Linked DNA regions of Arabidopsis thaliana. The protein of the gene in region 2 interacts with the protein of the main gene of each other region in a pairwise test. Each region holds a gene or a part of one and is shown on either strand. Other genes may lie near its edges.

Region 1 (5,029 bases), about 23 Mb from region 2:
AAGATAGTGATGCTATCAACTGACCAAAATCGCACTGCCTTCAAGCTTGAATGTTTTCTTGCTAAAGACTGGAGTGGTTTCTTGTTCCTCCTTTGCTTTGGCGTATATCTCCAGAGTTGTTAAGGACCGTGGTTCAGATGAGGATTTGGATTCTGGTTCAACAAAATCAGCAACATGCTTATAGATAAGCTTAGTCAGGTCCCTTCCCTTGCGCTGGATCTTGTCAGTGTTATAATTTTTTTTACGCTCTGGTTGCTTGGAAACTTTTTTCTTTTCCTCCCGTCCACTGGATGATGTCCCATTAGATTTTGGGGATTCATTACTGTTATCTTTCTTCAACAGCTTTGCTCTGAGATCTTCCACTGAAGCACCTCGCATCATTTCCTCCCGTAGCTCCGTCCGGGCGGCTTCATACTCCTCCTATTGATCAGAGACAAATTATTCTGCTTAGCTATAAAATAATGGATTTACACAAAAATGCAGAGAACTTGATATTGATGCAACTGAGATATATACAGGTTCATCAGATAAAGCAACAAATATATTTTCAAGAGCCACCAGAGCCAACTAAAACGCTATTACCAAAAAATCAATCAAGAGCATTTTCAACTTAGCTAACCTATCATCAATTTGCTGATCAGTCCAATATACCAGAATCTGCATCTAAATCAAAATTGTTGGAAATTTGTACTGGTGATGGAATCAACTAAATGGCTGGTGAGAATCATGATTCCTCTTTATGTGAATTGTAGAACAACATAAAAGGTGAAGAATTTAAAAATATATGAAGAAAAATAATCCTTGAAGATATGCTTGTATAGGTACAACGTCTGACTGACCTTCTCTTTCTCAGGGTTGTACATTTGTTTACCCTTACGTTCCCATCTAAGATATGCTTGGATCTGTACAAGATCTTCAGGAACAGAAACATTTTGTTTCACATTCCTTTCCGTTGGTAAGTTTATATGAAAATTCTGACCATTATTTTTATACCTGCATATGTTTTAGATTATGAGAAACGACAAAAATTGTAAACAGAATTAGGTTCTCTGCTCAGGCTTAGTAAGTAAGAAGAAGCGAAAACAAGCTAACCATTTGTTCCGACTTTCGTCAAATATAAGGAACTCAATAGCGTGTATGGCAGGATCATCTATCTCTAGTTTAAGGTGAGAATTGCCACCGGACTGCAGATAAGAACTCAAAGCATCATTTGGAAATCTTAAGTTGTACTGGTATCAGCTGGAAATCATACCATCACAAGTAGCGCTGTAATGTACGTCGAAGAATGAATTCAAAGCTTACTTTCACAAATGGAGTTCTAAGCGCACTGTTCTTGAAGTTTTGAGTTCTATCCGGAGAGCGAGAAGGTAGAACCCAATTTCTGACATGGAAAATAAGAAAGATAGTTAACTATACCATGTGCCATAACAAGCTATTACCTAGGAAAGTTGAACATCACTAGACAAGGACATACTCTTTGTTGTCAAGAATTGCACCCCAGTGTAGGAACAATGTGTCACTTGTATAAGCTATCTGGATATTTACTTCTCTTACAGTTGTAGAAGTGACTTCAACCTATTCAATTACATTCATAAAACCTACCATTAAGTCTACAAATGCCAACAAGATAGAAATTTCCATTATTTGTAAGGATATACTTACCAGTAAATCGATATTTCCGTCAAGACTAAATTTCTCGGCTGCCTGTTAAAGGATGAAACTTTTTAGCACACATGTCGATAAAATAACTATCTTATGCATTCAATTGGAAGAACAATGCATATGATTCAGGTCAATGAAAAAGTTTTGGACATGAAACGTCTAACATACATTGAGTAGTTGGAACCAAAATATCACATTCCAAACAATGTCAATAGTGGTGAAAAGTAAATCCATAAGAAAATAACCTGAGGATCCATGGCAAGGACAGCTCGTGGAACAAATGAGAGAGGTCTTCCTCCTGTTTCAGTGACCAGACTGCGTCCTGCCTGCTTAAGACCTTTCCCGTAAAGTTTTGATCTGCCAATCTTGCCAAGAGCCGGATTTGCTGTTGAAGTTTGGTACACAGAGGAGTTGAGCTTGTTTTGATGTTCAAAGTTAAGAGGACGAATCAAACCCCGGTTAAGTAAGTTATGCACTACAGAGTTACTCATGCTTTCTTGTCACTGAATCAAACTTGCCGGATCTGTTAAGTAAAGTAGAGATTATATAATAAGATAATAAGGAAAACAATGAAGCTTTTGCAATAGATGAGAAAAAAAAGGAACAAGTTATACTATTTGTCTCAAAAAGAAGAATCTGACAGAGTTAGACAAGAGAACCACACTTGTTATTTTTATTTTATTTTCACTTTGTAGAGAAACAGTTACTTCATTCTGCGAATGGAACATGTGCAATATACACTAAGAAGAAAAGAATCGTCTTTTATAGTCAAAACGAAAATATCTATCAAAAGAAAATTTGCAATTTGAATCAAATAACAAAAACACCGAAAGCAATCGAAATTGAAGGTAAAATTCAATTGAAAAAGATACCTGATGATCGAACCGAGACGAAGAAACTGAATACAATGAGAGAAAGAGAGAAGATCCCAGAATTTGAATGATCTTATGGATGAAGTGAGTGCTGGGGGGTTTCTTCGCTCTTTGTTCTTCTTCACTCACTCACACATACATACACTCACGTGTAATCGAAGTAAAAAACGACACTTTATCCTTCGATTCCACCACGTGGCACATCGTTATTCGAGCACGTAGGAGGAACGGCACGGAGAAAGAGAGCCCAGTGATACGTTGATGGACGGTATCTGTGGACTCCACCTTTTTTTTTTATTTGGGTGATATTTTCTTATTATATACAGAATCTTCTCACCGTTGATTTTAGCTTTTTTTAATTTTTCTTTCTTTTTTCTATTTTCCTGTTTTTGTCTTTTTGTTTTGATATTTTTATGCTTCGTTCTCTTGTATCTTTTTTTTATTGGTCGACATGTTTTTTTTTTTTTTTCTCTTGTGTTCACAAACCACGAATTGCAGAAGATATTTTTGTTTATCTTTCTATTCTTGTAGTGATATATATCCCAAGCCCACTTGTTCAATCATGTCAATTATATCCTAGCTAAACCTTATTTGGTGTTTTTGTGTGGTGTTTCTTCTATAGAGAGTTTTACACATTGTGGAAAACAAAATGTATGTTAAATATAGAAGCAAAGGATAATTTTGTATAATGTTATGTGTGTTTATTATGGTCCAATATTTTTCAATCCAAATCAAAGCAATTCTCACTTTCTTAAAACACTTAAAGACATTGAAACATGATCATTGAGCAAGATCTATCAGTTTTGCATGAAAGAAAAATTATTGAATGCTTTTATGATCATATCAAACTATAATATACATACAGATTTTAAGAAAAAGAGTTAAAAGACCATTTTAAATGGCAATATTTTTATCCAATATATGATATAGCCAAATTATTTTCTCAAAGATATTTTTTTGTTATGGATCCTGGGAAAAGTAAAACATAATCACACATATACTTTCTAAAAACATCATAATGATATCCATATCAATAATGAATTAGTGATAGTAGTTAACAAAACAAAAAGTTGTGCATTACTATAGTTTGTGTTTGTCTTTGTCACTTATTGTTTTATTTTTCGGTCAAAACTTAATCTTATTGTTGATAGTGAAAAAGTAAAGTGGGTTCAAGAAAGGAGAATGGAAAACATTTCTATCGGCAAATTGTTGAATATGAAAAAATCTACTAGCGATTATTAATTACACGAAATTCAAATATAATTAGTTACACCCAGTGGCGTTACATACGAATGATGGATCAACAACAAACATCTCTCTCAAAACAAAAACAACAAAAAGAAACCCAAATTTTAATTGCTTGAGATTTTTTATTTCTTCAATTAATTAGTTTTTGTTTTGAGAAAAATTAAATCAATTGTTCTCTTAAATCGATCATCTAATCAATGTAGACAACGCCAAGCAATTGCTGCTAATTTTTCTCAAGTCAACCACTGCATTTTGGATCGCATTAACCTGTTGTGTTTCAATGAACCCGTCCACACATGCACCGTAATCAGACACAGCCGCAGTTAGATACGTGTTCATCGCCGGCACATCACGTTTCCTTATGCTCTTTCTCGCGCTTGCCAAATTGTAAACCGCGTCGCCCAATGTCTCGTAACACGTGCTGACCGCTTGGTTACCGTTTTTGAACCTAGCTGTTTCGGCTAGAGCTAGTTTCGTCTTAGCCTCCAAAGCTTGGATGGTTCGGTGCGTGGCTTTTCTAGGGCTCGTGACACGTTTCACCAGAGGTCGGCACAAAGATGGATACGCGGTGTGAGAGCAGATATTGATCATACGCGACTCCGCGACTTGACCAGCCATGAGAAAGATCAATACGGCGGCGGATGCCGCGACTGCTGCAAAACGCAGCTGGAATGTGTCGCGGCCCGCCATTTTATTGATATTTATTTATGTATTTGAATTGAGAAGAAATTATCACCAGGTCATTTTTCAATGCAGGAGTTAATCACGTTATATATAGACAAGTTTTTTTGGTTTTGAAATTGTTGGTGGTGCGCGTTTTGCGTTTTCTCGTTTTATTTTAATGTAATGCAATCTGAGGTTTATCTTGTTTTAAGGAGATTATCTTCTTTTATCTTTTTTAAGCATAGGACAATACTTCTTTGATACATAAGTATACTCCAAAAACAAACTTTATCATAAACTGTAATTATATTCTGCTAGATCACTACTAGTATATTATTAATGTAGATTAAGAAAACAAGAAAGCTAATTAAGAAATGTGTCCATAATTTTTCGTTTAAAAAACAATTGTCATAAGTTCATCATAACCATGAATCAGGAAACAACAATTACTCAAGAGTTCAATATAAGAAATGCTCAGCGACCAGAAAGAGAAACAGAAATCAAATGGCTGAAAATAAGATTAGCAGCAAAAAATTATTTCATTCTATATGAACAAGATGCTCGTTCATGTGCCGGAACTTGCA
Region 2 (3,901 bases):
CCACCTGATAGATGTGTTGACAGCGTGAATCAGATTCTAGGCACATTTAACCAAGGGCTAAAGTCACTTGTTGATCAGCTGAACCAGCGATCACCTGGAGCCATCTATGTATACGGCAACACCTATAGCGCAATTGGTGACATCTTAAACAACCCAGCTGCTTACGGTACACTTATTCTCGGATAACATGGTTGTCAAAGGAGTTTCTTCTATGATTTCTACTCTGATCAAACATGGTTTATATGGTACAGGATTTAGCGTAGTAGACAGGGCTTGTTGCGGGATTGGGAGGAACCAAGGACAAATTACATGTCTGCCGTTGCAGACTCCTTGTCCCAACAGAAATCAGTATGTCTTTTGGGATGCATTCCATCCTACTCAGACTGCTAACTCCATTCTGGCTAGACGAGCTTTCTATGGTCCACCTTCCGACGCATATCCTGTCAATGTCCAACAGATGACACTCCTTCACTAGTATATTTTGGTTTTCGTGTTTCTTTGAAGTTGTATGTTATAATGATTGAACCTATCTATCTATGAGTATCGAGTATCAAGTTGAAACCAAAATGCTTGTACTAAATAACATATGTGCTAATGAAAACAAGAAGACCCATGATTTAGAAGTCTTAGAGAGGACATATTAGTTTCAAAACAGAGCATGCCGAGTTTCGTGTGCACCAAATGCCAGAAAAAAGAACACATGCATTTTCAATTTACTCCGTTCCTACTACTCTCATCATTTCATTTATCCCACTCCAGCTCTAACTGTGGTTCAGTCTTTAGATGAGAAACATTCCTCGACGGCAGAGCTTCAGTATTAACGTGACCAGTTAACCGATTCCAACCCATGATGTGTGGAAGAGCAAACTGCACAAAATACAAAATCTGGTTAAAAAACAATCACCAATATCCCTTGAAGAATATATACTTGATCCAGATTCATGTGCTAAAACTGACAGAGAAGCAATGCCCTTGGTTTTTCTAGTCAATGTTTTTGGTTCTCGAACTGATATAATAGTAACAGAATATAGAGAACGCAGAATAAAAATCTTATCTTACACTAAAAGCTGTCTTCATCACTGCAAATTCAGCTTTTGTGACAGGAACCACAAAATAGTCATTGGTTTTGAGGATGCTATTGTTAACGCCTGCAACAAAACCGCAGAAGGTAAGTGTTTATACAGCATTAAGAATTCAGCATTCCTATTGTTATAAGACAGCTATTCTGTGCGAAAACTGTTATCGCCATATTACAAAACTAATACAAGTGCAAGCTTCTAAATTTACTAAACAGAAAGCTCCCATAACTAAGTATTTCAGTACTGATTATCCATGTTAATTTGATAGAAGCCTTACTCAATGAGATGAAGTAGCCGCTACCATCTGCGTGGGGCTTAACTGACAGTGACTTCCTGACTTGACCAGCATTACTGAGGAGTCAAAGACAAGTCTATGTCAGAACATGAAAATGCTGCGATAAAAATATAATGTATTGAAGCAAAAAAAGACAAACCTTGATTTCATGGAAGGGTCATGGAAAAACTCGGAGCTGTCTTTGGAACCCATGCTAATTAAGGATCCAACTTCAGTAGGTGACAAAGCAAATTTCTGCAATAATGTAGGAAACAAACCAAATTTATCAGAGGAGAAAGAAGAGACAAGTGAAGAAGATAGAGAGTGTGAAAAAGATCAATACCTGTTTCTTTTCCCAGTCGTACTTACGCTCACCAATAGCAGGCATAAAAGTCATCATTAAGGATCCACGACGATCTATCCGAAGATTTCCCGACTAAACAATTGTACTCACAGTAAGTAATGAGAATCTAAAAGAAGCCTTTAAAGAGAACACACAAAACTAAAAAGAAATGGATTTTGGGCTTACATCGATTTCAGTGAAACTGGGAAGAACAGGTTCAACAGAGAGAGCAGCTTTTCCTTTGAAGATAGAATAAGGTGCGAACAATCGACCACTAGGCTTTGCGGCATCTTCTCAAATCAAGCAAACAAAATTAGGGCAAGTACACTTAAACTGACGAAACGGAAACAAACCAAGTTCTTACCTTTACCAGGGAATCCACGTCCAGGGGTTGAAGAATTTGACCAGCTTGCAAAACCACGCAACGTCGAAGCTTCGAAAAGTGACTTACTTTGGTCACAAAGGCTCCTGCTTTAACAAAAACAAACCAACCCAGAGAAGCCATTTTAAGAGTAATGAAATCTAAAATCTGAATTTTGAGAGGAACTGAAGTAACCTGGAGAGCAAAGAGCGGGCTTGCTTCATCATCTTCTTCTGTCTCGAGTAAAAAGCATCACTTGAGGTCTTCCGACTTCTGAGGTTTTATGATTTATCAAAACGGGTTTTATCGGGCGACCCATATTTTAACCCGTTTGTTTTATATATAAGTCTTTTAACGGCCCAATGGGCCTTTATTGTTGATTGGGAAATTAAAAATCAGATTAGAGAAGACGAACGAATCTGAGAAAGGTGAAGCTGAAGAAGAAGAAGAAGAAGAAGAAGAAGAAGAAGAAGAAGAAGAAGACTCTCTAATGGCGGACTCAAACTGATTTCGAGGATTCTGATTTCGTTTTCTAGTTGAAGATCTTTCAACTCTTAATCTCATTAGGAAGATGTCCGACATTTCCATTGACGCATTGGTACTTCATTTTTTTTGCATTCGTGATCTTCTAGCCTTAATCATGGATCCTTTATGATCTCTTGTCTAATTCGCTTTGCTCTTCTATCTGAAATTCATAGGGCCAAACTATGGGGGACTTTAGTAATCATGAGAAACTTGGATTTGATTTAGGAGCATTTGTTGGAGACTTGGCTTTTGAAGAAGATTCAGGCAGGTAACGTTCTCATGTTTTGTATCTTAATTCGACTATAACATATGTTTCTGCTTCTCTTTGTTCTTCTGATTAGAATGCTCTCCTTTGATTTGTTTGGCAGTGAGGATATTTCATTGGAAGGGCTTCAACAAGAACTTGAAGAATGTGAAAGTGATGAGGTAAGTTATTCACTTAACTGAGATCAAACTTATAAAGCTAGCACCTCGGTTCTTCTTTTTCGAAGTATTGTTTCTACTCTCATTTGAGTTACTTTGGAGTACATGGATTGATCATAGAATGTTAGATCCATGGATATGATGTCCTTTCTATCTTGTTTGTGTGAAATGTCAGGTTGTTGCCAATATACTGTCTAGTGGTGACAAACTTAGAGAATATGCAAAAGGGGTTGAAAACAATCTACGCAAGGTTGAATTGGATTCAATCGAGGTTGTTATTCTCTACCTGTGCTACATTGTGGCACTTGTTGTTTTCTACTTTTTATGTACTTCCGTCTATAAGTTCGGGAATTTCTTTGATATCGTAAGTAACTAACTTAAATGCTTTACATTCCATGAATACTCAGGATTACATAAAGGAAAGTGACAACCTAGTCTCACTTCACGATCAGATTCGTGACTGTGACAGCATCCTGTCACAAATGGAAACTCTTCTCAGTGGATTTCAGGTATTTGAAAATTAGACATTTATATAATTTGTGTGTATGTATGTGCTTCTTTCTCCTTATTCTGACTTTTGCTTAATGGGAGGAATTTTTTTACTTTGAAATACATATATTTTTTCCTGGTAATCTAAATGTGCACTTTGCTTCTTTTCTTTCAGGAAGAGATTGGTTCTATAAGTTCAGACATAAAGATTCTTCAAGAAAAGTCAATGGACATGGGTTTGAGATTGAAAAACCGCAGGGTATAGCTAATCAGAAACCACTATTGGTATTATCTCTTGCTGCTTTCACTCGTGACTCATCCAAATGAACTCTTCTATTTGAATAGGTGGCTGAATCAAAGCTAGCAAAATTTGTCGAAGACATTATAGTGCCACCAAAGATGATAGA

Evidence for each region. Proteins that work in one complex are often made in the same cells at the same time.
Region 1: the proteins of ATWHY2 (region 2) and SEX1 interact in binary tests that used the Arabidopsis thaliana proteins (3 or more experiments, as listed by UniProt).

Annotation. Positions count from the first base shown.
Region 1 is NC_003070.9:3,587,891-3,592,919, forward strand, and holds the start of SEX1 (Pyruvate phosphate dikinase, PEP/pyruvate binding domain-containing protein), read right to left. Parts: upstream 3,039-5,029; 5' UTR 2,986-3,038; intron 2,910-2,985; 5' UTR 2,535-2,909; intron 2,186-2,534; 5' UTR 2,154-2,185; coding exon 1,908-2,153; intron 1,705-1,907; coding exon 1,663-1,704; intron 1,576-1,662; coding exon 1,475-1,575; intron 1,382-1,474; coding exon 1,303-1,381; intron 1,185-1,302; coding exon 1,093-1,184; intron 994-1,092; coding exon 840-993; intron 421-839; coding exon 25-420; intron 1-24. Other genes in the region: AT1G10770 (Plant invertase/pectin methylesterase inhibitor superfamily protein), read right to left, coding at 3,969-4,472; AT1G10780 (F-box/RNI-like superfamily protein), read right to left, coding at 4,985-5,029. UniProt on the Arabidopsis thaliana protein: Mediates the incorporation of phosphate into starch-like alpha-glucan, mostly at the C-6 position of glucose units. Acts as an overall regulator of starch mobilization.
Region 2 is NC_003070.9:26,861,108-26,865,008, forward strand, and holds ATWHY2 (WHIRLY 2), read right to left. Parts: upstream 2,348-3,901; 5' UTR 2,285-2,347; coding exon 2,253-2,284; intron 2,165-2,252; coding exon 2,061-2,164; intron 1,987-2,060; coding exon 1,883-1,986; intron 1,790-1,882; coding exon 1,697-1,789; intron 1,609-1,696; coding exon 1,514-1,608; intron 1,431-1,513; coding exon 1,357-1,430; intron 1,149-1,356; coding exon 1,060-1,148; exon of another isoform or gene 868-1,059; coding exon 742-867; 3' UTR 550-741; downstream 1-549. Other genes in the region: AT1G71250 (GDSL-like Lipase/Acylhydrolase superfamily protein), read left to right, coding at 1-166, 252-475; POK (Vps52 / Sac2 family), read left to right, coding at 2,629-2,655, 2,756-2,850, 2,951-3,008, 3,181-3,276, 3,413-3,514, 3,670-3,753, 3,840-3,901. UniProt on the Arabidopsis thaliana protein: Single-stranded DNA-binding protein that associates with mitochondrial DNA and may play a role in the regulation of the gene expression machinery. Also seems to be required to prevent break-induced DNA rearrangements in the mitochondrial genome.